7 linked regions of the Ovis aries genome follow. The protein of the gene in region 1 purifies or fractionates together with the protein of each later gene. This does not show direct contact. Links are inferred from orthologs where the notes say so. Each region holds a gene or a part of one and is shown in the gene's direction. Other genes may lie near its edges.

Region 1 (3,500 bases):
ATTTAATGCTTTAAAGTTTGTGGTGAAGGACAGGGAAGCCTGGCGTGCTGCAGTCCATGGGGTCGCAAAGAGTTGGACTGAGCGACTTGTAGATTACTGTATCCCAGTCAACTTTTTAAATGTTTTCATAATTATTTTAATACCATTGACTTCCTTTGTGAACTTACACATTTTATTGTGCATTTTAAAATGTTAGTCTGAGAAAGGGACATCCATAGGCTTCACTGGACAGTCAGAGAGGACCCTGTTCTATTGGGACGTGGGTGAGGAGTAAAGAGGCTGGTTGGCTCTAGTCCAGGCAGTTCCACCAAGTGAGTAATCACTTTCTAAACTAAATAAAGTGTAACATTCTGGGCTCTCCTGCTTACTTGTTAGTGAAGGAAATTTTGTTATTAAAATTAAGTATGATTTTTCTCTAATGGTAATTGAGGGTGGAGTTTACACAAATGTTTTGTAGGTCCTTTAGGCTGAGCTGGTGAAGGCCAGAAAAAAGAAGCCTTTCTTCCCCCACCCCTCCTTTGGATTTAAATACCTTCTTTTACATTTGTGTGGGAGGATTGTTCTTGGAGTATCAAATACCTGATACTTTAGCTGGCAGGCCCTGGGGCAGCTTGGAGGGGAATGCACCCGACCTTGGTGTTCTTGGGAGGGCCTGCAGGAAAGGCCTGCTGCCTTTCTTCCTTTCTTCGTGGTAACAGTTGCTTTGCACTCTCTGGGGTAGGCTGGCCCTGGTGTGGCCTCTTTTTTATAGCCCATTTCTCAGGAAGCAGCCTGAGAGTGGCTCGGTAAGGACCCTGGTACGTGGTGGGCACTTATGTTTGCTGAGTCTACAGCCAAGAATTCTGCTCCTTACTGGAGCCCCGCGACTGCCTGGTGAGGCAATAGTCTTGTGACCTTAGCCTGGTTACTTTCTTGCCATCTCATCCTGTCCTGAGTTCTTAAGTATAAAGCTTTGCACAGATCAAGGGTTCTTTCCTCTGGAGGGAGACCAGTGGCCTCAGCAGTCCTGGAGTTTGTGCCATGAGTATACCCTGGTGGAGGCTTTTCATGTTTGGCACTGTGCCGGTGGCTGGGGACACAGCACTCAGGCCAGAGTTAAAGGAGCACGTATGGGGGCCTCAGAGAGCCAGGAAGAAATCGTGGCCATAGGTTCCAGTGAGGGGTGGGCAGAGCCATGAGTCAGGGGCCCCCTCTCTGCACTTAAAGGAGGCTTAAAGAGGGGCTCCAGGGCAGGCAGAGCCAGGTCAAGGCCACTGCAGATGCTGTAACAAGACGCCCAGGCGTTTAAGGATATGTTGGCTGCCTTGGTGAACGTTTGAGAGCCAGGACACGAGTCTGTTCTCTGAAATGACATTTGTTGACTGGTTGTGGATGGAAGGGCTGTCTCGGAGTAAGCATCTTTCCCACAGCAGGAGCTCCTCCATCCTTCCTTTCTTCCTCTTCCCTCCAGACCTGGGGCACCCCACAAATGTTCTGAGTGCCTGCCGTGACTGTGCTGGCAAGACAGGCATTGCATGGCGCCTCTCTGGCAGCTCCTGACCCGACGCAGGGCACAGGCCTTGATCAAATAATAACCCAAATGAATCTTAACTCTGGGGAGCTATGGGAAGGGGCATCTGTCATGGGACATGAGGAAGTGCTGTTGGCTCTGGTTAGAGCTGGGGAGCCCAGGGGACAGCCATTGCCGCTGTAAACCCACGCTGCGCAACCCTGCGTCCTTGTGCCCCAGCCGTTAACCCTGTATTGTATTCAATGCTGTCTATAAAACCCAGAGAGAGGCTGCTCACCTAGTAGGAGAGGGCCAGTTGGGAGAGCTTGTCCCTGCTTTTCCTTAGCACTTTCTGTGTCCGCATGACTCCATCCTAAACGTTCTGCTGGGTGTTTATTTTTAACGCTGTTTTATGCCATCTGCTTGACATTTAGATTTCTGTCCTATCAAAGCAGATGTTTGGCACCTTCAGTCAGAAGAACCGTTTGTGTATTTTTAAGTACCTCTTCCTGCCGAGCGACGTAGAGCAGCGTAGTGGAAAGAACCGGGGCTGAATCACCTGCTGCATGTCTGACCGCACCCCCATGAGACTGTGAAATGAGGGTGCTGGTTCCTCAGAGACAGCTGTGGGGTGGCCCATGGTGGGTGGTGGGCAGCAGGGTCCCTCCAGCCCCTGGGGGTGGGGTGCCGCCCTGCCGGTCCCTTTCAGTCTCCCTCATGGAAGTCCTTCATTCCGTGCACATCTGCCTGGCTGCTGCCGGCAGGCCACTTCTCTGACACATCTGCTCAGCCTGGCGCTCATCGGGGACTCATTCCCCGCTGTCCTAGGTGCATGGAGCCCTGGGGGCCACGCGGGCCCTGGCGGTGGTCCGCTGGGGGGGGGGGGGCGCCAGAAAGCAGGACGGGCACCTCCTATGCCCTCGCCAAGCTCTGAGCTGAGTTTGCGACGGAAACGCAGTGGCAAGTTTGGTAACCGCGCTCAGGGCTGAACGCTAAGCTGAAGTGCCGGTCAACCCCACGGGATGGCCTGGTGCCTGTCCCAGGGCAGGCAAGGCAGCTTCCTCAGCTGAGGGGTGGGTGCCGTCCTCTGTTGACAGATAAGCAAGGGGGTTGGGGATGTCTGGTGCTGAGGCCCGCGCCTGAGGCTCACAGCTCTTTTTCCACCTCTGATTCCGCCCTTCTAGTCGCCCATGTTCGATGGGAAAATCCCACACTGGCACCACCTCTCCTGCTTCTGGAAGGTCGGCCACTCCATCTGGCACCCTGATGTTGAGGTGGAGGGGTTCTCTGAGCTCCGCTGGGATGACCAGCAGAAGATCAAGAAGATGGCCGAGACTGGAGGAGCGACAGGTGTGTGCCCAGCGGGGAGGTGCGGGGGTCGCCCCAACCCTGGAGCTTCCTGGGCAGGGGCCTGCTCTGTGAGAGCAAAGAGTAGGTCCTTCAGCTCACTCTCCCGTTACTCCAGCAGCATCCCAATGACCCAGAGTTGTCCTGTTGGTACAGGATATGTTAACTTCTAGATGCTTGAAATGTAGCCTTTAAATTTGCTGTGGTGGTTATCTTACTAGACCCTCTTTTAGAGTGGTTTCAGGTTCACAGCACAATTAAGCAAAAAGTATGGAAAGTGGAGAGTTTCCACAGAGGCGTGACCTCTTCCACCTTCAGCTTCTCCCAGCAGCTGAAGTTACGTTGACACATCAGTTCACCCAAAGTCCAGAGTTTATATCAGCCTTCAGTCGTGGTGGTGTACATCTTTCCTGTAAGGGTTTGGGCAAATGTATAATGACATATCCATCATTATAACGTCATTCAGAGTATTTCCATTGCTCTATAAAATTCCTCTGCATTCTACCGGTTCATCCCTCCATCTCCCAACCCCTGGCAACCACTGATGTTTTTCCTATATCCATAGTTTCATCCTTTCTAGAATATTGTGTCGTTAGAATCACACAGTATGTAACCTTTTCAAATTGGCTTATCTCACTCAGTAATATACATTTAAGTTTCCTGC
Region 2 (3,500 bases), on another chromosome or scaffold:
TTTGTTGCTTTTGTATTTCAGGTCAGCAAATTAAAACGTCACATTCGCTCTCACACTGGGGAGCGTCCTTTCCAGTGCAGCTTGTGCAGTTATGCCAGCAGGGACACATACAAGCTGAAAAGGCACATGCGAACCCATTCAGGTAGGGCTTCTCCCTTGCTTGCATTAATGAACCACTTTTTAGTGGATCCCATGGCACCCTGTGAACCACCACATACTCTTATTAGTTACCCAAATGGAAACAGGCATGAAAATAGTATATAATTGACAGATGTTCTCTGGCATACCTTCAGAATTCATTGCTCTGAGTATACACTGGAGAATGGAAATTTTTTACTGTTAGAAGTCTGGGTAGATTACCTAACCCAGCCTGTCAGTTTTTCAAAGTACAGTCTTTTTCTAAAAAGGAAAACTTTCAGGTCCTCCTGCCATCATCCCATCTGCTCTCCTCCAAAAGTAAGTACTGCTGTAGAAACTACTCTTATTAACATGAAGGACTCTGTGGCAGAGCTGGGCAGAGCAGAGGTGGTAGCCACAGTTTGGGACTTCTTATTCATCTCTCAAGATAGGCCTGAGCCAGGCAGTGGGCCTGAGCCTCATCCTTCCTGAGTTAAGAACTGTAGGTCCTCTGTGGCTTGGCATATCTGCCACCTGGTATCCTTCCAGTTAAATAGCAGTTACTTAGTCATTTCATCTAATTTGTTCATTCTGTATTTTTTTCTTTGAAGGGGAAAAACCTTATGAATGTTATATTTGTCATGCACGGTTTACCCAAAGTGGTACCATGAAGATGCACATTCTACAGAAGCACACAGAAAATGTGGCCAAATTTCACTGTCCCCACTGTGACACTGTCATAGCCCGGAAAAGTGATCTGGGTAAGTCAGTTAACTAGTGGCAAATTCAATAAATTTTGACAAGTCTATGAAGATAATGATCACAGGTTACTTCCTTTTCTGACTTCATGAGTTTTGTGTGTTGTGAATGGCCTGCTGTTTAATAAACGTCATTGCTTATGCTATTTTCTTCTGTCTCTTCTTTCTCTTACTGAAGCTACACTACAAAATTTTTTCTTGACTATACCTCATCTGTAAATAAATGGCAGCTATAATGAGAGGAAAGTGTATTTTTAATTAGTAGCCTTCACTGGTAATGTTAAAAGTCCCCCAATAGGAAAGTAACATAGTATGGTTCAAACTAAGGTCAGTCCACTTCAGTTTTGGTTTTTTTTTTTTCCCCCAGAATATTTGTACTTTAGGTAATTAGACTGTTGTGTTGATTTGGTGATAGCTATAATTCTGTACATAATTAAGCTACAGTTAATATAAAGGCAGAGTTTGGTGGTAGAAATTTTAGGATAACTCATATGCTTAAAGATAAGGTCACCTGAATTTATCCCTTTGTGTTTCTTACTTAAAATAGTTAAAAATACTGCCCCAGTCTGTTCTCTGTCCAAAATACATTGCTCCCTACAAAATAATAATAATAATGCATTTAGATAAATTGTATCTTGCAGGTTGTCTTTATACTTTTATTTTACTTTTTTACTTATTTGATCTTCACAGCAACCATATGAAGTCATCAAGGCGTATTTATTTGAGCTTTGTTGGTGATAACAGGTGTCTTGACCAAAGTGATACAACACAGCTTATGAGTGGCAAAGCTGGACTTCAGTCTCCTGGAACCCTCTAGAGCTGTTTCTCACACTGGGGCGTGTATAAGTACCCAGGTCATATCAGGAGCATACCAAACCATATCATAAACCTGGCCTGTCTTTCTGCACCATTGGTTTTACTCAAAAGGTTTTGAGTAAAGTTATACAATTGAACTAGTATCTTAAAACATTTTTACATTAATATGACTATATTGAACAAACTGCAGACTGACATAAAACATTTTTAAGATGAAACTGTGAGCTTGAAGTAGAGGACATTGGATTCCACGTAAGATCCAGCAGGTCATGTGTTCATCCTACTCTGGTGTGGAAAGGATTTCAGAAAAATTTAAGAAGTACTGTTCTCAGATAAATGAAAGAGTTTTACTGTTCTTACCATATAGAAACTAAAACCTAAACCAGTAATATCTCATGGTACCGTGTGAACTGTTAGGCCACTGTTTGGATTATTTGATTTTTTTAAGTTATTCACTATCCTGATGCAAATGAAAACCTTGAGTGTTTTGTACTTGCATGATAACCTCTTAGACCTTACATAATGAACTCTTTATGAGGTAGTTAAGGAGCTGTCAAATAATAGTTATCTCCCCAAACCATTCCCAAACCAAGTTTGTGTTCCCTCTTTTAAAGCAGGTCTGATTTCACATTAATATGCAATAATTAAGATTCATCACCTTGGGATACAGGAAGGCATGGGCTTTGGAGGCAGACCTACCAGAGTCAAGATTCACCTCCAAATACTTACTGTTCTAATAAGGTGTTTTTTTTTTTTTTAAACTGATAATATAGGGATAATTCCAACCTTACAGAATTATTATTGTAAATATTTAATAAAAACATAAGAAAGTCTTTGACATTAACTGTTAGGTCTCTCTGTCTGAGGAGCAGAAGTTGAGTCTAAGAATTACTTGAAATGATATATTTATGTATAAAAAGTCTTCATATAGTGAACATGTGTAGGGAGTAAAAAAGTGAGCCATCCCTTTCTCTTACCTTATTTCCATTACCCAGAATTGGCCCTCTTTAAGTTTGATACGAGGCTTTCCTTGTGGCTCAGTGGTAAAGAATCCACCTGCCAATGCCTGGAGGAGGAAATGGCAACCCACTCCAGTATTCTTGCCTGGGAAATACCATGGACAGAAGTGCCTGGTGGCTATAGTCCATGGGGTCGAAAAAAGTCACTGTTTAGCAACTAAACAACAACAAAAGTTGGAAGTGATAGCACCTTGATTGAGCAGATGGTTAGCACCATAAATTCTTGATCCTAAACGCAGCTGGGCTCCTCAGTTTTCCAGCTGTTTGTCCTCATCAGTTGTGTTCCCATTCTCCTCAGTGAGTGTGTCCCATTAATTCATTCCACAGATGTTTGAGCACCTGCTATGTAGGAAGTACTAAGACAGTAGGGTAAATCATTAACTTTGTTTAAACCTCTAACCTTCTTTCCCTTTTCTCCTTGTCTCAGTATGTAACGTCTTTCCTTACTTTAGACACACAGAAAATGCAGCAGGTTGAAACTTCAAATTTCCTCTTTCCAGATGTGTAACTTACCTGCATTCATCCTCTTTCCCTATCGGCTTCTAGAGACCTTGTGTCACTCTTCGTGTCTGTGGCCTGTCCCTTTGCCTTGATTCCATTCTTGTGTGTTCCTGGAAACCTTTACATGATCAAGTATTGCTTCTTTACCTTCATTTTCATGTTCTCCTTAATCTTTCCCCTCAACTCTAAATGTCCTTGCCCCAAAGACAGACACACAGCTCAGGCTTCAGCCCTGTTCCACTTACTCCTTGTCTCAGTAAGTGGCTCCATCGTCTGCTCAGTTTTCCAA
Region 3 (3,987 bases), on another chromosome or scaffold:
CCACATTCCACTGCCATGAGGCCTGTGCAGCCGCGGAGCTGCTCCTTGTGCTCCCGCACTTCCTGGTGTGACCTTAATATAAACCTGCATCTTTTCTGCCAACAAGGGCAGCTCTCCCTTGTTTCCTGGAAGATCCTCCTATTCTGTTTTAATAGCTGATATCTTCATCCTACGTCTCGCGCCTTGTAGACAGATGCTTTACTGTCTGAGTCACCAGGGAAGTCCTAAATCTCTATGTAAGGAAACGATATTAGAAAAGAGACACAGTTTTTCCATCTGCCAGAATGCCTTTGAATTCTTGCAGTTCATGACTCTTAGGGAACATCCTGGAACTGTCATAAAAATCAGTAAACATCTCATTCCAACATCTTGCTATTCTCCTCCCTGACAGCCCCTCAGCCAGTTCATTCAGTGAAGACAGCATTAAAAAAATCTTAGGTTTCTCCACTTCTGGCCCCTTCAGACCTTTCTCACTCAGAAAAAGAGAAAGCCGATTGTAGCTTCGAAAGCGTGCGGGAAAACAATGCCACAAGCAGGTACTGTCTACAGCGGAAACGGTGGCTTTAAAAGTAGTGAGCTTTTCCTTATTGCTGCTGCTGCTGCTGAGTCGCTTCAGTCGTGTCCGACTCTGTGCGACCCCATAGACGGCAGCCCACCAGGTTCCCCCGTCCCTGAGATTCTCCAGGCAAGAATACTGGAGTGGGTTGCCATTTCCTTCTCCAACGCATGAAAGTGAAAAGTGAAAGTGAAGTCGCTCAGTTACCTCTGACTCTCAGCAACCCCATGGACTGCAGCCTACCAGGCTCCTCCGTCCACGGATTTTCCAGGCAAGAGTACTGGCGTGGGGTGCCATTGCTTTCTCCGGAGCTTTTCCCTATGAAGGGAAAGCGAAAATCAAGATGCTGCATGGCTGCCTAGAAGCGGCCACCGAGAGGATAGCTGCCTGAAGTGTATCCCAATTCAGAGATTAAGAGGTGGTGACTGGGGAGCGGCTCTCGGATAGAGGGGAACTGAGAGAACTCGTCGTTTTTTGGTTAACTGCCAGGAACCAAACTTGGACTTTTGCCCAGTTCGGAACCAAATGGGGCGGGCACTTCCCCATCCGGGCATCTAGCGAGATCCTCAGTCAGTCTTCCGACAGGCACTGGAAACGTCACAGGTTGCGCCCCAGTTTGTCTTGCAACGTCATCCCTCAGCGCCGGAAGTGAAGGAGTAACGTGAGCTTGTTGGCCTCAGCCATCTGGAGGTAAGGCGGTTGTCGGCCTACCTCGTCTCCTGCCGTATTGAGAGCCGTGAGTGTGGGCATCGAGTCCACCTCTACCCCAGAGTAATGTTCCCTGAATAACGCTCTCACGGCTCTTTCCCGGCAGGCAAGCAGGCGTTGCTCCATCCTCGGGCTCTAAGGCCCAGGGCTGCCCATTTCCCTCCTGCCGTGTTTCAGCGGCTGGCGGCGCTCGTGTTGGTCTCCACTGCACTTCGCGTTGGTTCACCTATGCGCCTGACACCTGAACCTAGCTTAGTCAGAGCACAAGCAGAAAAAAGATTAGAGAGTGGGCACTGTCTGACCCAAGGAGGCTTCGCAGCCTGTCAGGAGCGACTTTGTTTTCTCCAGAAACGCTCCTTGAGAAGAATTTGAGGGCCCTTCACAGCATCCACAGCTGGCCTTGTAGGAAGACCAGAAGAATCAAGCCTTTTCTCATGCAGACCAATGATAGCGGTTCAACAAATCAAGGCTATAATTTCCATGTGGAATTAATGTGGTCCAGGTTTGGAGCCTTTTGAGAATTTGATATATATCGGGAGCCATTAGAACACAGAGGACAGGACTACTCTGTTCAGGGAGACAGAACATTTGTGCCCTGTCACCTTCGCTGCAAGCAGTGTTGTCGGATGATCTTTTAACATTTCCTTATAGCGCCTATTCTTCACTATTAACGAGAGTGGTAATGATGTTGAATGCTGTTTTTTTGCCAGGTGCCGAACTTTTTACATCTTAATTTAGCCCTTGTGACAACAGTGTGGTGTAGAGCCATAATTAATATTGTTTTCCAGCTGAAGAAGTCTTAGTTTAAATAACTGGCCTCAAATTATGCAGTGAGTAGTGGTGGAGGGAAGATTTGAACGTGAGCAGTTGGATTTCAGAGGTCTGGATGTTGTCCACTAATTTATATTGATTGTCTTTAGCTGATTCTCAACTGCCCAGACACCTTACTTTGTTGTTATCTGCTATTTTAGGGAGAAAATTGAGTTCATCCGATGTGCTTTCCCTCAAATTTCTACCCTTGCTTTCTTTTCATACACTCGTCAAAGTTGATACCACCTATCTATACCTTTCCTTCAATATCAGAGGATGATCTGTCTCTTGATCAAAACAAATTTCTTTATCTTTGCTTCTGACCTTTCTTTTATGTTTTCACCTATGAAACCGGGGCTTTCATTTGTCTTTTCTTCCCTTGTCTGTGTCCCAGTCATGTATAAACAAGGTCAGGTTATTCAGATCCCTGCTCCTTATCCCCCAAGCCAGAAAGAAAAAGTTCCTGGTGATCCATCTTTCTTTAGCTCACATACAGTAACTCTCTTCTCCTTATCCAGACTTTTTGAAGAGTATTGTGAATTCTGTATCCAATTCCTCACCTCTCATTCCTTTCTGCGATCTAGCTTTCAGATCTGTTATTCCCCTAAAATTTTATACAGTAGTCACTAGTGACTTATTATCAAACCAAATATACGTTCTTTAATCATTACGCTTCCCTAGTGGCTCAGACACTAAAGAATGTGCCTGCAGTGCAGGAAACCAGGGTTCGATCACTGGGTTGGGAAGATCCCTTGGAGAAGGGAATGGCAACCCATTTCAGTATTCTTGCTTGGAGAATTCCATGGACAGGGGAGGCTGGTGGGTCACAATAGGGTCACAAAGAGTCGAACATGACTGAGCGACTGACACTTCCGATCATTACTGGATCCTTTTGCTGCAAACGTGGTGATACTTTTTACTCTTTACTCCTTTGCTTTTCACGACAGTACACTAAGCTGATTTATTCAACAAACATTTATTGTGATATACAGATGAACATGTCAAAGTGCCTCCTTCCCTTGAAGAGCTTACATTTTAGCTTTTTTTCCCCCCGAGTGTTTCCCTCACCAGTAATTTCTCCTGTGGATAGTCCTCCCTCCTTGTCTAAAATGTTGGGTGTTTCCAAGGCTTGTGACTTTGGCCCACTATTCTTTTTATGCTGTACACAATTCTTGAATGAGCACGTCAACTAGCATGGCTTTAACTCCTTCCTGTATGCTCCCAAATTAAAGTGTCAGCTTAGACCTCTGCTGAGTTTCATTCTTACCTCTGGCTACCCTGCTGGATACCTCTGCTTGCTAGTCCCACAGACTGTTCAAATATTGTCTTCTCTGTACTTAATCTTAGCACATCCATCACTGTCTTGTTGATTTTACCCTCTAAGTAGTTCTTAAATCTGTGTTCTTTTTTTGTCTGTATTAATGTCCTACTTTGAACCTTCTTTCACCTGAAATATGATGGCCTTCTAACTGGTTTCCCTGTCTCTAGATCAATTCCCTGCATAACTATTCTTTAACTACCTACCATCCTGCCCCAAGTGATCCTTGAAAACAAATCTGAGTCAAAGTCCTGCTTAATAATATTTAAAGATCTGTCATTTCATTCACCCTATCTTTTCTTTCATTAAGCAAATATTTATTGTTTACTAAATTGCAAAATCCATTAGAGCTTCTAAAGTTTGAGCTTCTCAGCCCATCACCCAGGGCTTTGCTTCATCTGGACCTGCCTGCATCTCCAGCCTCTTATTGACCTCATACTTTAGGTTGCAGCAACCCTGAACTGCTTCTTCATGCGTGTACACTGTCCTGTTCCTTTTGACTGGAATCTTCTCTTTGATTCCTTCCTCCACTTCCTGCTCCTCAGCTAATTAGGCTGCCCACTTTCACCTAACTAACCAGTTCATATATAAGTCT
Region 4 (3,500 bases), on another chromosome or scaffold:
TTAAAGAGTTATTATGGAAAATTTTATGTAAGTAGAATAGGTTAATGGGCTTCCCATGTACTTAAGTGTCATCATTTCATGAACAATCTTGTTTCATCTGAACTCTTCTCATCGCCTTCCCATTAGTTTGAAATATTACGTTGGTGCAAAAGTAATTGCAGTTTTCCTTTGTTGAACTTTGTCATTTGATATTGGAGTACATTCTTAAATAAATGTGGTTATATTATACATCATTTTACTGTGCATTTCTTGCTATATGTTCTTTTCGTTAATGACTTGTTACTTGTTATTTATTATATATTGATTTTGGACTGTGGAGATGATGTTAGACAAAAAGCAAATTTGAGCAGTTTTCTTATTCAGGTTCAAATGGGTTGTAAAGCAGTGGCGACAACTTGTAACATCAATAACACATTTGGCCCAGGAACTACTAACAAACGTACAGTGCAGCTGTGGTTCAAGAAGTTTTGCAAAGGAGACGAGAGCTGTGACGATGAGCACAGTGGCCGGCCATCAGAAGGTGACAGTGACCAGCTGAGAGTCATCTCTTAAGCTGATTTTCTCACAACTACATAAGAAGTTGCTGAAGGACTCAACAGTGACCGTTCTATGGCCATTTGGCATTAGAAGCAAATTGGAAAGGTGGACAAAGCTCGATAAGTGGGTGCCCATGAGCTGAACAAAAATTTTAAAAATCATCATTTTGAAGTTGTCTTCTCTTGTGCTGTGCAATAAGAACTAACCATTTCTTGATCGGGTTGTGACGTGTGATGAAAAATGGATTTTATATGACAACCAGCGACGATCAGCTCAGTGGCTGGTCTGAGAAGAAGTTTCAAAGCACTTCTCAAAGCCAGACTTGCACCAAAAAAATGTTCACTGTTTGGTGGTCTACTGTCCATCTGATTCATTACAGCTTTCTGAATCCTGGCAAAACCATTACATCTGAGAAGTATGCTCAGCAAATCGATAAGCTGCATCAGAAACTGCGATGCTAGCAGCTGGTATTGGTCAGCAGAACGGGCCCAGTTGTCCACAGCAGTGCTCAACCGTTGTCACACAGCCAGCGCTTCAAAAGTTGAACAAATTGAGCTATGAAGTTTTACCTCACCCACCATATTCACCGACTTCTCACTAATTAACTACCACTTCTTCAAGCATCTCAACAACTTTTTTGCAGGGAAACTGCTTCCACAACAAGCAGGAGGCAGAAAATGCTTCCTAAGAGCTTGTTGATTCCTGAAGCACCAATTTTTATGCTATAAGAATAAACAAGCATTTCTTGTTGGCAAAACTGTATTGATTGTACTGGTTCCTATTTTGATTAATAAAGATGTGTTTGAGCCTAATTACAGTGATTTAAAATTCATGGTCTAAAACCTCAGTTACTTTTGTACCAACCTAATAAATTCCAGGCATTAATAATATAATTAATTTATATAGTACTTTAGTATGTATTTCTAAAAGAATTTTTTGCTGCCCATCATACCATTATCATACCTTTCTTTAATAACCTTAAATATTCAATCTGTTAAAATTCTCCTGACTATATTAAAAATGTTCATTTATATATATATATATATATATATATATTTTTTTTTTTTTTAATCAGGATCCAAACAGAGCCCACACAGTGAATTTGGTTCATAGGTCTATTAAATCTTATTATATTGTTTTTCTGTTTTCCTTGTGATTTATTTGTTTAAAAAGTTGGATAGTTTGTCCTATATCATTTCCCACATTCTGGATTTTGTTAATTTCTATAGCTTTTTTTTTTTTTGAGAGAACATTTAATGTCTATTCTAAGTAATTTTCATATATGCAGTATGGTGTTATTAACTATAGGCATTATGCTGTAATTAGATTCTCCAGAATTTATTCATTTCATAACTGAAAGTTTGTACTTTTGACTGACATCTCTCTATTTCCCTCTTCCCTCAGCCCCTGGTAACCACTATTCTACTCTGTGTTACTATGAGTTTGACTTTTGTTTTTTTTAGTTTCCACATACAAGTGAGATCATACAGTATTTGTCTTTTTCTTTCTGTCTGGCTTATTTTTACTTTCATTTTAAAAATTGTGCAGGGTTGGGTACCAGTACAGCTAAGGAAGCCAAGGAATACTTTGCTGACATGGAAAGGCACCGTATCTTATTTAGATATGCTGGTCCTGAAGATGATGCTGCCATTACCTTGGTAACAAAGTTAATTAAGAAATCTCTCTAGACAGAGGGGTGGGGAATGCATTGAGAGAGAGTCGCATTGACTTGCATGTACTACCACGCGTAAGGTAGTTCACTGCTATAGAGCACAGGGAGCCTAGTTCGATGCTCTGTGATGGGGGAGGGAGGGAGGGAGGCTTCAGAGGGAGGGCATACCTGTATACTTATGGCGGACTCATGTTGTACAGCAGAAACCGACAAAGCATTGTAAAGCAACTAAACTCCAATTAAAAATTAAAAAAATCTCTCCCAGTATCCTTTTCCTCTGTCTGCCATCCTCCCCCTCCCAGTCTTGGCTTGCTGTGGTATGTCTCTTTTTAATTCTAAGCCCAGCCTAGTTAATCTTAGTGTCATTCCCCATCACCTCAGATTATGCTCTGCTTTCATAGTTCTTTAATTCAGAGACCTCTATTCAAATGTATTTTTGATAGAAGTGTATTGGAAAAGACTGTATAATTTCCCAGAAATTAATAATTAATTATTTGCTTTTATAAATTTTAATTCTATAGTGAAATTAATTTTTTTTAATGTATTAAATTATCTGGAATTTTTCAGGCATTCAGTAAGAAGAAGATCGATGACAGAAAAGAATGGTTAACGAACTTTATGGAAGATCGGAGACAGCGTAGGTTACATGGCTTACCAGAGGTTAGTCATAAAGAGCTGTGATCTGGGGGAAGAAAGAGAAAGGCTAAAAATCCATGTAGTAATAATGACATAATTGCTGTGTGACTTTTCCCTTAGCAATTCTTATATGGTACAGCAACCAAGCATTTGACTTATAATGATTTCATCAACAAGGAATTGATTCTTTTCTCAAACTCAGACAATGAAAGATCTATACCATCTCTTGTTGATGGTAAGTAGCTTTTGTTTAAGAAGCTTTTTCATTTTTGAATGTTATTGAGCGTATTTTAATTTCATGTATTTTAACCCATCCTTATAATAATTTTTAAAATTCTAAAGTTGCTTTTGAGATGTTTTAGAAGTTTTGAAATATTTTATAGTCTTTAATTTGAATCTTAAGGCCTTTTTGAGTTTCTAAATAAATTATTAATAGCTTGCAAATTTTTGAAGTTTTAGCTCCAACTTATTGGAGACTTTTTAAAATAAAAAGTAAAATGTGATTTTGGTAAGTTCCAGAGTATTTATCAGACCAAATTTTAAAAGTACCTTTACTCCTCAGTACCCGGAACCTCCCATCCAACTACTAACCAGGCCCAACCCTACTTAGTTTTCAAGATCAGACAAGATAAATCTCATTCAGGGTGGTATGGCC
Region 5 (2,880 bases), on another chromosome or scaffold:
GTGTTTAAGAGTGTTTAGTTTTTTTCTATTGTGATAAAATATCCGTAAAATTTACCATTGTGAGTGAGTGAGTGAAAGTCGCTTAGTCGTATCCGACTCTTTTGCGACCCCAGGGACTATACCAGTGAACCAGTAAAGTTGCTCAGTCGTGTCTGACTCTTTGCAATCCCATGGACTATAGCCTACCAGTCTCCTCCGTCCATGGAATTTTCCAGGCAAAAGTACTGGAGAGGGTTGCCATTTCCTTCTCCGCTGGATCTTCCCGACCCAGGGACTGAACCCAGGGAAGCCGCATGGACTATACAGCCCGTGGCATTCTCCAGGCCAGAATATGGAGTGGGCAGCCTTTCCCTTCTCCAGAGAATCTTCCCAACCCAGGGACTGAACCCAGGTCTCCTCCATTGCAGGTGGCTTTACCAGCTGAGCCACCAGGGAAGCCCACATGTATAAGTTCACCGGCATTAAAATACCTTCATATTGCTGTGCAGCTGCCACCATCATCCAGCTGTAGAACTTTTTCATCCTCCTCAGCTGAAACCCTGTACCCATCAAACACTAACTGTCTGTTGCCCCTGGCAGCCATCATTCCACTTTCTGTCTGTATGAAATTGAGTACTCTAGGTAGAGTATTTTAATTTTTAATAAAATTCTACCTAAACAGTTTTATGCGATGAAATGTCACCTATATATTAGTCATTCCTAAGAAATTTCAAGCCACTGGGAGGTAATCATTTTCTCAGAGATTTTCCTCCAAGTCTTTTTAAAAACCGTATAGATAATTTAAGGTGGTCTGGTAGTTTCCATGCTGACAGTTTTACGTTTTGTTTCTGCAGAACGAGCAAGCATTTGAGGAAGTTTTCCAGAATGCCAACTTTCGATCTTTTACGTTCAGGATCAGGGTCAAACTGGAGACCTACAATGTAAGTAGCGTCACCCGTGGTGCGTGAGGGTAGCAGCATAGAACTCTCGTCTGTCACCCACAACCCCACTACAGTGTTAGCTGTCAGTTCCTCGCTTACTGTGTTCCAGACCCAACTCGTAACACCCTGCATGTATTACTCACTGAGTCACCAACATTAGGGTGCTGTTACCATCTCTGTTTTCAGATGAGCAAACAGACCAAGAGAGAGGTTAGGGGTCATGTCCAGTAATAACAGCCAAGGAAAACATGCTGTGTGGCCTTTTCAGTTAAAACCTGGGGGATTTTGGTTTGTGTCCTGACAGACACAAACCCCATCTTCCCCATGGTTTGGGTTCTAAAGTCAGTATATGAGAGAAAGACCACATGTGGTTAACATTACCTTGGAAATTCCTTTAATTGCTCATAACGTCATACAATTATAAAATCATGAAAAAACAGCCTTTATTGAGTGCTGACTATCTGCCAGATACTGTTCCCCACCCTTTGCATACTTCGTCTCCATTCATCCTAGCAGTAACCCTGTGTGAAGGAACTGTTGTTGCCTGCATTTTGCTAGTGAAAAGCTGTAGTTACGGAGAGTTGAGTAACTTGCCTAAATTCATACGCTAGCAAGTGGCACAGCTGATAATTGCATGTAGGCAGTCCAGCCTCAGAGCTCTACACATGCTTAGAGATCTGACTGGGTTTTGTAGGTACAGAGCTGGAGTGTGCAGGCCCTGAGCTGGCCTCACCCCAGTCTGCCTCTGAAGGCACTGTCCAACCTGGTGAACAGGCGACAGGAGAATTCAGAAAACCTTGCTTGTTTCAGGATTTGCTTGCTCTGCTTTCTTGTCAGGCCTGAACCCTAATACCTGCTAACAGCTGTGCCTGGTTTTGTGAGCATTAAATGAGCCTTTCGATGTCAGCAGTGTGGTGTCAGGGTGGGGTGGGGGTGGTCGAGGGGGAGGGGTGGAAGGGTCACTGGTCCCTGTGTGGCGTGGGCAGGGGTGGTGAAGGGCAGCAAGGTCGCCTCTCACGGAGCTGAGGCAGGCCGAAGCAGGCTTCGCCCTCTGCTGCGAGCACGGCTGCTCTCCTACCGCCCGCTCACAGAGCCCGTGGCGTAGCTTTAGCAAGCCACTGTCTTCTGGGCTCCCGTTTCTGGCTCTGTTGGAGTCCAGGTTTCCGAGTGTCTGGGACCATGAGGAACCGGTGCAGGGCCTTTGCCCCGGTGCTCATCAGCACGGCTCCTTTCCTGGGCTCTCGGGACTCTGAACCACCAGCATGTCTTCGTGCTCTCTCCTGTTGGGGTCACTGAAACCAGGAGCATGGCCACAGGTGTTTCTTCCATCACAAATCGTTCTTCTCTTTTCAAAGGATGAGTCTCGGATTAAGGCCACGGTGGTGGATGTGAAGCCTGTGGACTACAAAGAATACGGCAGAAGGCTGGTCATGAACATCAGGAGGAACGCGGCGATGTGAGAGGATCCTGCCAAGGGGGCAGGAGCGTGTGGATAGAGGGCTGATTGAATCCCCCCCCCCCCCCCACCCCCAGCCTCCACGCGCACCACCATCCCCGCCCCGACTGACAGCGGTGCAGAGCACCCCTCTACCACAGACTAAGCCATCGCCTCTCGTCACACCTGGGAACCCACTGACAGCAAAGGGAAATACGCTCGCAGGGCTCTGGTGTAAACCGTGTCAGACCTCGGGGTCAGCTGCACAGACTGTAGTGCCACTCACCCCCTGTCCTTAGGCTTTTGTCAGTTTTACTAAGATCTCGTTATTTTCAACCAGAAATTATGTCACAGGAAATTGACCCTCAATCTGTAGACAGTGAACTAAATTATGTAGGCAGGGTTCCCGCTTCTCCAGTGGCGACACCTTCTCAGCTCGGGCCCCTTCCCAGGGGAGTGCTGAGAAGTGGTTTTGTGGAGGAACTTGAGTGTTTTAGGAAGCCTGTCTTCCTTGATTTCAAAGGC
Region 6 (4,130 bases), on another chromosome or scaffold:
GGGCCGTGGAAACCTGCGTGAGTGTGGGGGGACAAGGTGCAGCCAGCCTGGGGCTCGGAATGCTGGACATGTGTAGGGGGTGGACGTCAAGAAACTGGCAGATCCAGCCCAAGAGCCGCCCCCCTCCCCCACCTCCGCCACTGGCCCTCGGGACTGGGAAGGATTGCCAGGAACGTGGTGGGTGGGTGGCCGGGCTGCCTGAGCTAGGGGGGAAATGGTGCAGCTCTGGACCGCGGGTGGGGGCGGGGAGGTCGGGCTGAGGCCGGCTGCTGTGACAGGCGTGTGGCCAGATGGCTCGGATGGAACTGACATCAACTCCCTGTGCCGCTCCCACAACGAGCGCGTCGTGGCCGTTGCCGACGACTTCTGCAAAGTGCACCTCTTCCAGTACCCGTGCGCGCACGCCAAGGTGAGGCCTCCCGGGGCCTCCGGGGTGGGGCGGGCGGCCGGAGCTCCTCGGCCGCTGCAGCTCCATCTTCTCTCCTGCCCAGGCGCCGAGCCTCGTGTACGGTGGTCACGGCAGCCACGTGACCAGCGTCCGGTTCACGCACGACGACTCGCACCTCATCTCGCTGGGCGGCAAGGACGCCAGCATCTTCCAGTGGCGAGTGTTGGGCGCTGGGGGCACGGGGCCGGTGCCCACCACGCCCTCTCGAACCCCCTCCCTGTCCCCTGCCTCCTCTCTTGACGTCTGACCCCTGCCGGACTGGACCCACCGGCCCTGCAGTGTGGCCCTGCCCCCACCCACCCAAATTCCCCAGGACCGAGGTGACCCTGTCCTCGACTTCGAGACATTCCCAAAAGTGCATTTCCTTGGAGGGGGCGAACGGCACCCCTGCACACACTGTATAGACCCGCTGGCTGAGCCGGGCAGCCCCAGCCTGGGCCCTGACTCCCGCTGCCTGCTGAGGGGCAATAAACCAAAAGCAAAGTCGCCTCCCGGTCCTTTTGTGGGGCGCGGCTGGGCGCCTCGGGGCTTTATGGGGGCGGGGAGGAAGGCAAAGGGGAATGCGGAAAAGGTGAGGGAGGGTGGACTTTTTATGCAAATAACAGGCGAAGCCTCTTGCAAATAACTGCGAGGCTCAAAGGCCCTTCGAGTTTTTCGCGGCCGCTGGTGGAGCTGCAAGACTCCGGCTAGCAGAGAGTTAAGCCCAACTCCTCTCCCCGCCCTCGGAGGCGGGGCCGAGCCGCAACGGAAATAGCCGAGTGCCGGGCCGCGGTTGGCCGGAGGGAGCCGAACTTCTTCCGGAAGTAGCCGAGCTTTGCGGGCTTGCTCTCCGACCGGAGCCGAGTGCTGGGCCTTGTTCTCCGGATCCGCCGAAGGTGTTCCGGAAGGAGGCGAACCCCGAGGCGGGCCGGCAAGTCTTCGCGGCGGCCCTCAGAGTCCAACGTCTGGTGGGACTCGGCGAGGGCGGAGGTAGTTGCAGCCTGCCTCCGGTCCGGCGGGATCCGAGCTCGTTCCGGAAGAAGCCGAGCGGACCGGCGCCGGTCTCGGCGTCCCGGGCGTGAGGCTATAGAGGCGGCGGCGACAGCGCGGGCCGGGATGAGCCGCGACGGCTGAGGCTGCGGAGGCGCCGGCTGCGCGGGCCCGACTGAGACTTCTGCGAAGCGCCGGCCCCGCGCTCAGGGCTTCGCTTCGAGTCCTGCCCTCGGGAGCCTTCCGGACCCCTTTGTGCGGCCGGAGGCGGCGGCGGCGGCGGCGGGAACGGCCATGGCGGCCAACATGTACCGAGTGGGGGGTGAGTACCGGGTGTTAGGGGCTTCGGGACTCGGGGCGGGAGAGGCTCGGCTCCCAGCGGCGCGGGGACCCGCGTCTGGGGCGGCGTGGTCCAGAGCGCGGACCGGAACCGGAACCGGGAGCATGGGGAGCGAGGGCGCGGGGATCGCGACGCGCCCGGGCTCCGAGACTCCCGGGGAGGCTGCGGGCGGCCCGACGGCACTCTCAGGGCAGCGTCTGGGCCGCCGGGGTCGTGGAGTGGGCTTGCGAAAGTGGTTCCAAAGGGGCTGACAGGGCAGGCAGGGGGCGCGAAGGGCCGGCGCAACTGCTTGGCCACCAACGGGGGAGCGGCCGGGAGGTTTCCTTTTCCCAGGCGTTATTGTGCGCCTCGGTTCACAAAGGTGGGGGCCCTGTACAGGGATGAGCAATTGCTCTCCTGAACGAGACCGGGATGCAACTCCATCGCTGAGTTGTGGGGACTGCTGAGCAGGGGAACCCCCTGCTTCTCTTGTCTCCTCCTTAAGGCTCACTTTTGAGCGGAGGATCTGATTTAATAACTGGGTGATTAGGGGGTGGAACGTCCGTCCATTATTTTCTGCTAGTCTGTACACTTCCACATTTCTGCGTCCTCTCTACCTAGACCCTTATCTCCTTTTGGTCTACTCAGGCCTCCTTTCGCTCCTCCCACTCTGGTGCTGGACTCTCCCATCTACTCCTCTGATCTTCCCGGTTCTTCCCCCACCCCCTCCTACAGATTACGTCTATTTTGAGAACTCCTCCAGCAATCCTTACCTGGTTAGAAGGATTGAAGAGCTCAACAAGGTGAGTAGAGCAGAGGCCCGCCACTCCCCCCCTACCCAGCAACCTCCGTCTTCTTTTTTCAGAGATCTGTAACTTCAGGTGAATGAGAGACAAGCGATAACAGAAACCCTGTCCTAAGTACCCATGCATATTCATTCATTCATTTCTTCCACGCTTTCAGGAAAGGCTATTAAGAGTTTAGTGGGAACTTTACTGTTCTGTTTTTTGGGGGGCTGAGGAAAGGGATTTGGAAGTCTGTCCTTAAATGTGAATCTCTTGATTCATAATTTGAGTTTTTCTTACATCCTTTAGAAACTTGTTCACTGATGTTAGTCTCTTCTTTATGCATTTCCACTTTCAAATGATTAGTTTTCACCACCGTTTTTTCTCTCCTTAGACTGCAAATGGAAACGTGGAGGCAAAGGTTGTGTGCCTTTTCCGGCGAAGGGACATTTCGAGTAGCCTCAACAGCCTGGCTGATAGTAATGCCAGTGAGTGTCTTTGTCCCCACCCCCGGTTTCCCTGTCTCCCCCTGCCCATGATCTGAAGCCTGGGCATGTCCCTGCAGGTGTTCTCTTGTAGCATGCCCAAGGCAGGGGTGTGAGTTTGGGGGTGGGAAGTGCCTGGTCTGCAGAGGGAGGCCTGTTTTTACATGTTGGGTTAGAAGCAAGGTGGAGAGGCCATGATAAGGAAAGCCAGAATTTGGCTTGTGTGTGAGTGTGTATTTTTGAATCTGCCTTTGTGAATGGTGTATGTTAAAGAGATGATAGTATGTAAATCGGGGATGAGGAAGCACTTTAGAGAAGCAGATCTCTAGGGGGACAGTTTCGGTTGTGTTGGGATGATAGGTGGTGACTGCGAAGGTCAGGTGAAGAGAAGAGACTGGACTGAGAAGCCTGCATAATAGGAAGGCAGGTTTTTGGTGTGATCATGAGGTGGTAAGACTACACTGATGGGAGAAAATAGGAAGCCAGGAACATTTTCTTGCGCTTTTTCTCTATTCTCACATAGCCTAGGACTCACCTAGCCCTGGACTCCATTTTACATCTTTCCCTTTTCTTTTCAGCCTATCCTGCTTCTCTTGATGCTTTCATCTTTTTAGATACACAGCTTTCTGTTTTCTTATAGTTTCTTTTTCCTTTCCTGCTTTGGCTTTCTTTCCCCTTTCTCTTGTTCTTCCTTTCTAAATTATTTTCCTTATTTTGGGCTTCTTTGAGCATTGGGCGTGAAGGGGTTAAGGAGGACCTGGGCCGACCAAGTTCTCTGGCTCTCTGGGGTTTCCAACCCTGTCTGGCAGGGGCTGACCTTGGTCTTGTCCAATCGGAAAGGCTGTGGGGGGTGTGGTCCCCCTTGCCTTAGCACAGGGTTTCCGGAGCACACAGGCAAGGGGTGGAGCCTACTGCACACCCCTGCCCCCCCCTTCTCCTTGAGGTTGGGAACAATGCACCAATGAGCCTGGGCCTGTGGCTCTTCTGCCCCCTCCCTGTTTGGTTGGCACCCAACCAAGTTAACCCTTTCCACTAAGGTTTCAGGGCAAGTTGCAGCTCCTTGGGGAATAAGGTGTTGGCACTGGCTTGAGAGGTACTGTCCTTGAGAGCCCCCAAAACAAACT
Region 7 (4,097 bases), on another chromosome or scaffold:
CCCCATGAACTGTAACTTACCAGGCTTCCCTGTCCCTCACCACCTCCCAGAATTTACTCAAACTCATGCCCACTGAGTCAATGATGCAGCCTTGTATGGTGCCATGCTGACCTCTGTCATTCCATTTTCACGTTCTGCCCAAGCCAGCACTGGTTGACTAATTCCCTCACTGCTTCTTAAGCCCCTTAATGGCTCTCCATCCTCTACATAACAAAGGGCATGACCTTTTTTTAAAATTTTTTGGCTGCACTCCAGGGCATGCGGGATCATAGTTCTCCACCAGGGACCCAACCTGCGCCCTCTGCTGTGGAAGCCGGGAGTCTTAACGACAGGATCCTTTTCAGAGAGCACAGAATTTTCCCCAGGGTCTGACCTTTGCTTACGTAACAATGCCCAGTTGCTCTACCTTTCCTAGACCGTGAACAAGTTCTCTCACCTCCGAGTCCACTATCCTTTTGTAAAAACAGCCGTTCCAATCTCTCAAAAAGTTGACCTTAAAAGCTAACCTGAGGTTTAAAATAAATACACAACACACCATCAAGGGTTTACTGTACCCATGACTCCTTAATATTGTATCTATCCAGTGCCCCTTTTCAATTCAATAATATTTACCAAATATTTACCATGCGCTAGGCACTTTGCGGGACACAGACAGAGAGAATACAGAAAAATAGAATGAATCTTTGCTTTCCCCAAGCTCATTACAATATAGTCTCTCGACCAGGACCTTTAAGGACCAGATACTCTCTAACACCAAGAGCCAATGGGGTAAATTGGGAGGGGGTGGGGTAAATTCTCAGAAGTTGAGAACAGGATGCGCCTCAGGGCGCCGCCACATCTCGGCACCTCTGCTTTCTCCAGCCGCAGTGGCACCTCGCGAACCAACCCCACGGACCAAGCCGCACTCGGAGCACCCGGGCCACCTCCCACGTGGCAGGCAAGGGGCTGGGACGCGTGGCGCGGCTGCGGGGGGGGCGGGGCCTGGGCCTCTGCGCCTGCGTGCTGCGGCCAGCTCGAGGACCCGGATTTAAAGAGACAGGCACTACAACCGTCGTGGCTGCGCGCGGCCTGTGGGCGCCTGGTCCGAGGCCTGAGGCGGCGCCGGAGCCCGGAAGGCAGGTGAGGGGGCGGCGCGGCGGGGCCGGCCTGCGGGAAAGGGGGGCGGCCGAAGTGCGGGGCTCGGCGCGGCCCGGGAGCCAGCCCCGTGGTCTCCTCCCCCGCCCGCCGGCTCGCAGAGCCCGGGGGCACACCCTCCGTGACGTGGCGGCCCCCCGGGAGCCCGCGGGGGTTGGCTCCCGGGACCCCCGCGGCCCCACGCCGGGGAGGCAGGGCGCCCCCGCGGGGCTCCTCTGGCCGGGTCCGCCCAGCCGCCGCCCGAGTCGGTGCGCTGCGGACGGAGCTTGGGAGCCTTTCTCTTCCCGCCGCGTCCCCTTCAGCCCAGCCCGGGGCTGTGCTCTGGCCGCCCCTCGCCCTCCCCGCGGCCCCGGCGGGTAGCCGGTACCCCCTCCCGAAAGGGGAGGCCCCTCCGGGAGCAGCGGCCGCGGGGCTCTCACTTCCCGGCCCGGCTGCGTTCGGGCCTCAACGGCTTCCCTTCTCGGCTCCCTCAGGAAATGCTAAGTGGCGGCCGCGAGGGGCCTGTGAGCCAGGCGGGGTTCCCCAAACGGTTCCGAGCCTCCTGGTGGCCCAGCGCCTCCCGGACCCTGCGGAGGAGGGGCGCGGCTAGGTGCCTTCCCCACCCCCCCCCCCACCCCCCCGGCTCCTTGGCGTCCTGGGGGCGGCTTTTCATAAATCGCTTTCCAGGAAGGTGGTGGACCCTAATTTTTTTTTTTTTTTTTTTTTTAACTTGAGCGCCTCTTACGGGCCTGCTCTACTTTCACATACTCTGTGGTTCAGCATCTAGGGGTTACAGAGCCCTTTGTGAAGTTTCATGAAAACGTTGACTGTTTCTTCCCCAAAACGTACAAGGCTGAATGCGCACCTTTTGAATACATTTGCAAGGGAGTTCAGAGCCCTACCCCCCACTCCCATTCGCCCATCCACGGACCCAGTGTCATTTCCCCCCTTCCCTTGAGGTAGATATTTTCCCTGTCTTAGGAATAAGGAAGCTGACTCGGGGAAGTTAAGGGAAATTCTCAAAAGATAACATAGTCTCTGAACTGCACGGTCACACTTGCGCTCGCGTCTCTGATTCCCAGTTACCTGCTGTTCTCTGCATCACGTTTCACTTCAGCAAGTAAAGCCTGCTTTTCATTATCATCCGCAAGCAGTTTGACGACAAAGCCTGGTGCAGGCTGAAAATAACTTCCAGTCTGTTGAAAGCTGGAACTGGGAGGATATTTTAGAAAATAAGGATAAAAGAAAGTGGGGGATACTATGTGGATATGGTCCTTGTTACCATGTGGATTGATTGAGCAGTTCCTTTGATTCTTGCTTGTCCAGTTACTTCAGCATTTTCAGATTGAAGTTGCTGAATTATAACCCGGCTAGTTGCACACAGGGAGCCTTTGCTTAAAGGATAATCGCTTCATTGACTATATAAGGGTTTTTATTCTTAGAATGACAACTGTCTGAGTTAGGTACTATTATTATCCACATTTTACAGTTGAGGAAATTGAGGAACTGAGAGATTAAGGAAATTCCCAAGGTCTTATGACCGTAAACTAGGATTTGAAACCAGGGGGTTAGGTTTTAGGCTCCATTTAATTGCCTCTCAAAATAGGGCTTCTGATTTAATCACAGATCTATATAGTGGCTTAATTATTTTCTGAGGATAACAAATATTTTATATTTCACATTAAAGGCTTCCTGAAAATAATGTCTTTTTCTTTTCTTTTTTTTAACTGCACCACTTGGCTTTCAATATCTCAGTTCCTCCTCCAGGGTTTGAACCCTGGCCATAGAAGTGAAAGCACTGAGTCCTAACCACTAGGCTACCAGGGAACTCCCGACGTAATTTTTCTTGATGTTTAAAAAGAAACTTTAGAATCTTATGCTAAAGGGTCACCATCCATTTTAAGGCTTAGGGTTTGCTGGTGGCCTGAGAAAGGGTTTTATGTTACTTGAATTCTCTTGATTGTGATTTACTAGATATACATTAGATAATATCTAAATTTTCAATTATGTAATTGAACATCCTGTTGCAGACTGAATTTTTCTGTACTGGAATTGTTCATCCTGTAGGCAATAAATCTTTCATACCTGGTCTTCCCTGGTGGTCCTGTGGTTAAGACTCCGAGCTTCCACTGCAGGAGGCGGAAGTACGATTTCTGGTCAGGGATCAGACAGCAGCCAAAAAAAAAAAAAATCCTTCATACTTTGGGAGAGGTTTGGTTGGTCAGCATGGATTATTGTGTTAGGATGTCAGCCTTTGAGGAAATTAGAAGCCTAGCTCCTCTGTAACTCACTTTTCTGCCTCTTCCCCTTCCATGCAGCTGTATGACTTTGGCTTTTAAGATCCTCTTCCCACCAACTCTCCGTGCACTCAGGAAAAAAGAACTGTGCCTATTCCGAGAACATCACCGGCCAGACATAAGACACTTTGGCCAGTGGTCAGAGACAGTTCTTCGTGGACACCACCACCTCCAGAGAAGAAAGCCTGTTCCGTCCTTTCGGGAAAGCAACCTAAGACCACGTGCCGCCTGCCTTGTTTTCTTGCCAGGGTCGCATGTGGGACTCTGCAGTGGTCCCTGTGAGATGGCAGAACAACGCTTCTGTGTGGACTACGCCAAGCGTGGCACCGCCGGCTGCAAAAAATGCAAGGAAAAGATTGTCAAGGGCGTATGCCGAATTGGCAAAGTGGTGCCCAATCCCTTTTCAGAGGCGGGGGGCGATATGAAAGAGTGGTACCACATTAAATGTATGTTTGAGAAACTGGAGCGGGCCCGGGCCACCACAAAAAAAATTGAGGACCTCACCGAGCTGGAAGGCTGGGAAGAGCTGGAAGAGAATGAGAAAGAGCAGATAAGTCAGCACATTGCAGGTAGGGTGGAGAATACTGCTTTCTCATCTTACTGGCTCTGAGAGGCAACGAGATGAGAGTAGAACCCAATTTCTTTCTTCCTGTCTTTCTTTAAGTTTATTGTTCAGAAATAACTTCA

What was found.
Region 2: the proteins of PARP1 (region 1) and CTCF purify together in Homo sapiens (affinity purification with mass spectrometry; 6 studies listed by BioGRID and IntAct, with this or other methods). This does not show direct contact. The link is inferred for Ovis aries from reciprocal best matches to the Homo sapiens genes PARP1 and CTCF.
Region 3: the proteins of PARP1 (region 1) and APTX purify together in Homo sapiens (co-immunoprecipitation; 3 studies listed by BioGRID and IntAct, with this or other methods). This does not show direct contact. The link is inferred for Ovis aries from reciprocal best matches to the Homo sapiens genes PARP1 and APTX.
Region 4: the proteins of PARP1 (region 1) and TOP2B purify together in Homo sapiens (affinity purification with western blotting; 3 studies listed by BioGRID and IntAct, with this or other methods). This does not show direct contact. The link is inferred for Ovis aries from reciprocal best matches to the Homo sapiens genes PARP1 and TOP2B.
Region 5: the proteins of PARP1 (region 1) and RPA1 purify together in Homo sapiens (affinity purification with mass spectrometry; 3 studies listed by BioGRID, with this or other methods). This does not show direct contact. The link is inferred for Ovis aries from reciprocal best matches to the Homo sapiens genes PARP1 and RPA1.
Region 6: the proteins of PARP1 (region 1) and MTA2 purify together in Homo sapiens (affinity purification with mass spectrometry; 3 studies listed by BioGRID and IntAct, with this or other methods). This does not show direct contact. The link is inferred for Ovis aries from reciprocal best matches to the Homo sapiens genes PARP1 and MTA2.
Region 7: the proteins of PARP1 (region 1) and LIG3 purify together in Homo sapiens (affinity purification with mass spectrometry; 3 studies listed by BioGRID and IntAct, with this or other methods). This does not show direct contact. The link is inferred for Ovis aries from reciprocal best matches to the Homo sapiens genes PARP1 and LIG3.

The regions. Positions count from the first base shown.
Region 1 is NC_056065.1:28,693,606-28,697,105, reverse strand, and holds part of PARP1 (poly [ADP-ribose] polymerase 1), read left to right. Parts: intron 1-2,673; coding exon 2,674-2,839; intron 2,840-3,500. UniProt on the Homo sapiens protein: Poly-ADP-ribosyltransferase that mediates poly-ADP-ribosylation of proteins and plays a key role in DNA repair.
Region 2 is NC_056067.1:34,736,546-34,740,045, forward strand, and holds part of CTCF (transcriptional repressor CTCF), read left to right. Parts: intron 1-21; coding exon 22-142; intron 143-728; coding exon 729-878; intron 879-3,500.
Region 3 is NC_056055.1:38,142,323-38,146,309, forward strand, and holds the start of APTX (aprataxin), read left to right. Parts: upstream 1-1,187; 5' UTR 1,188-1,698; coding exon 1,699-1,766; intron 1,767-3,987. UniProt on the Homo sapiens protein: DNA-binding protein involved in single-strand DNA break repair, double-strand DNA break repair and base excision repair.
Region 4 is NC_056079.1:39,507,395-39,510,894, forward strand, and holds part of TOP2B (DNA topoisomerase 2-beta), read left to right. Parts: intron 1-2,085; coding exon 2,086-2,195; intron 2,196-2,776; coding exon 2,777-2,869; intron 2,870-2,965; coding exon 2,966-3,080; intron 3,081-3,500. UniProt on the Homo sapiens protein: Key decatenating enzyme that alters DNA topology by binding to two double-stranded DNA molecules, generating a double-stranded break in one of the strands, passing the intact strand through the broken strand, and religating the broken strand.
Region 5 is NC_056064.1:22,831,594-22,834,473, forward strand, and holds the end of RPA1 (replication protein A 70 kDa DNA-binding subunit), read left to right. Parts: intron 1-833; coding exon 834-920; intron 921-2,275; coding exon 2,276-2,380; downstream 2,381-2,880. UniProt on the Homo sapiens protein: As part of the heterotrimeric replication protein A complex (RPA/RP-A), binds and stabilizes single-stranded DNA intermediates that form during DNA replication or upon DNA stress.
Region 6 is NC_056074.1:37,480,782-37,484,911, reverse strand, and holds the start of MTA2 (metastasis-associated protein MTA2), read left to right. Parts: upstream 1-1,330; 5' UTR 1,331-1,711; coding exon 1,712-1,739; intron 1,740-1,843; exon of another isoform or gene 1,844-2,118; intron 2,119-2,471; coding exon 2,472-2,539; intron 2,540-2,915; coding exon 2,916-3,009; intron 3,010-4,130. Other genes in the region: EML3 (echinoderm microtubule-associated protein-like 3), read left to right, coding at 279-409, 492-695. UniProt on the Homo sapiens protein: May function as a transcriptional coregulator. Acts as a component of the histone deacetylase NuRD complex which participates in the remodeling of chromatin.
Region 7 is NC_056064.1:14,812,603-14,816,699, reverse strand, and holds the start of LIG3 (DNA ligase 3), read left to right. Parts: upstream 1-1,297; 5' UTR 1,298-1,610; coding exon 1,611-1,723; intron 1,724-3,431; coding exon 3,432-3,979; intron 3,980-4,097. UniProt on the Homo sapiens protein: Isoform 3 functions as a heterodimer with DNA-repair protein XRCC1 in the nucleus and can correct defective DNA strand-break repair and sister chromatid exchange following treatment with ionizing radiation and alkylating agents.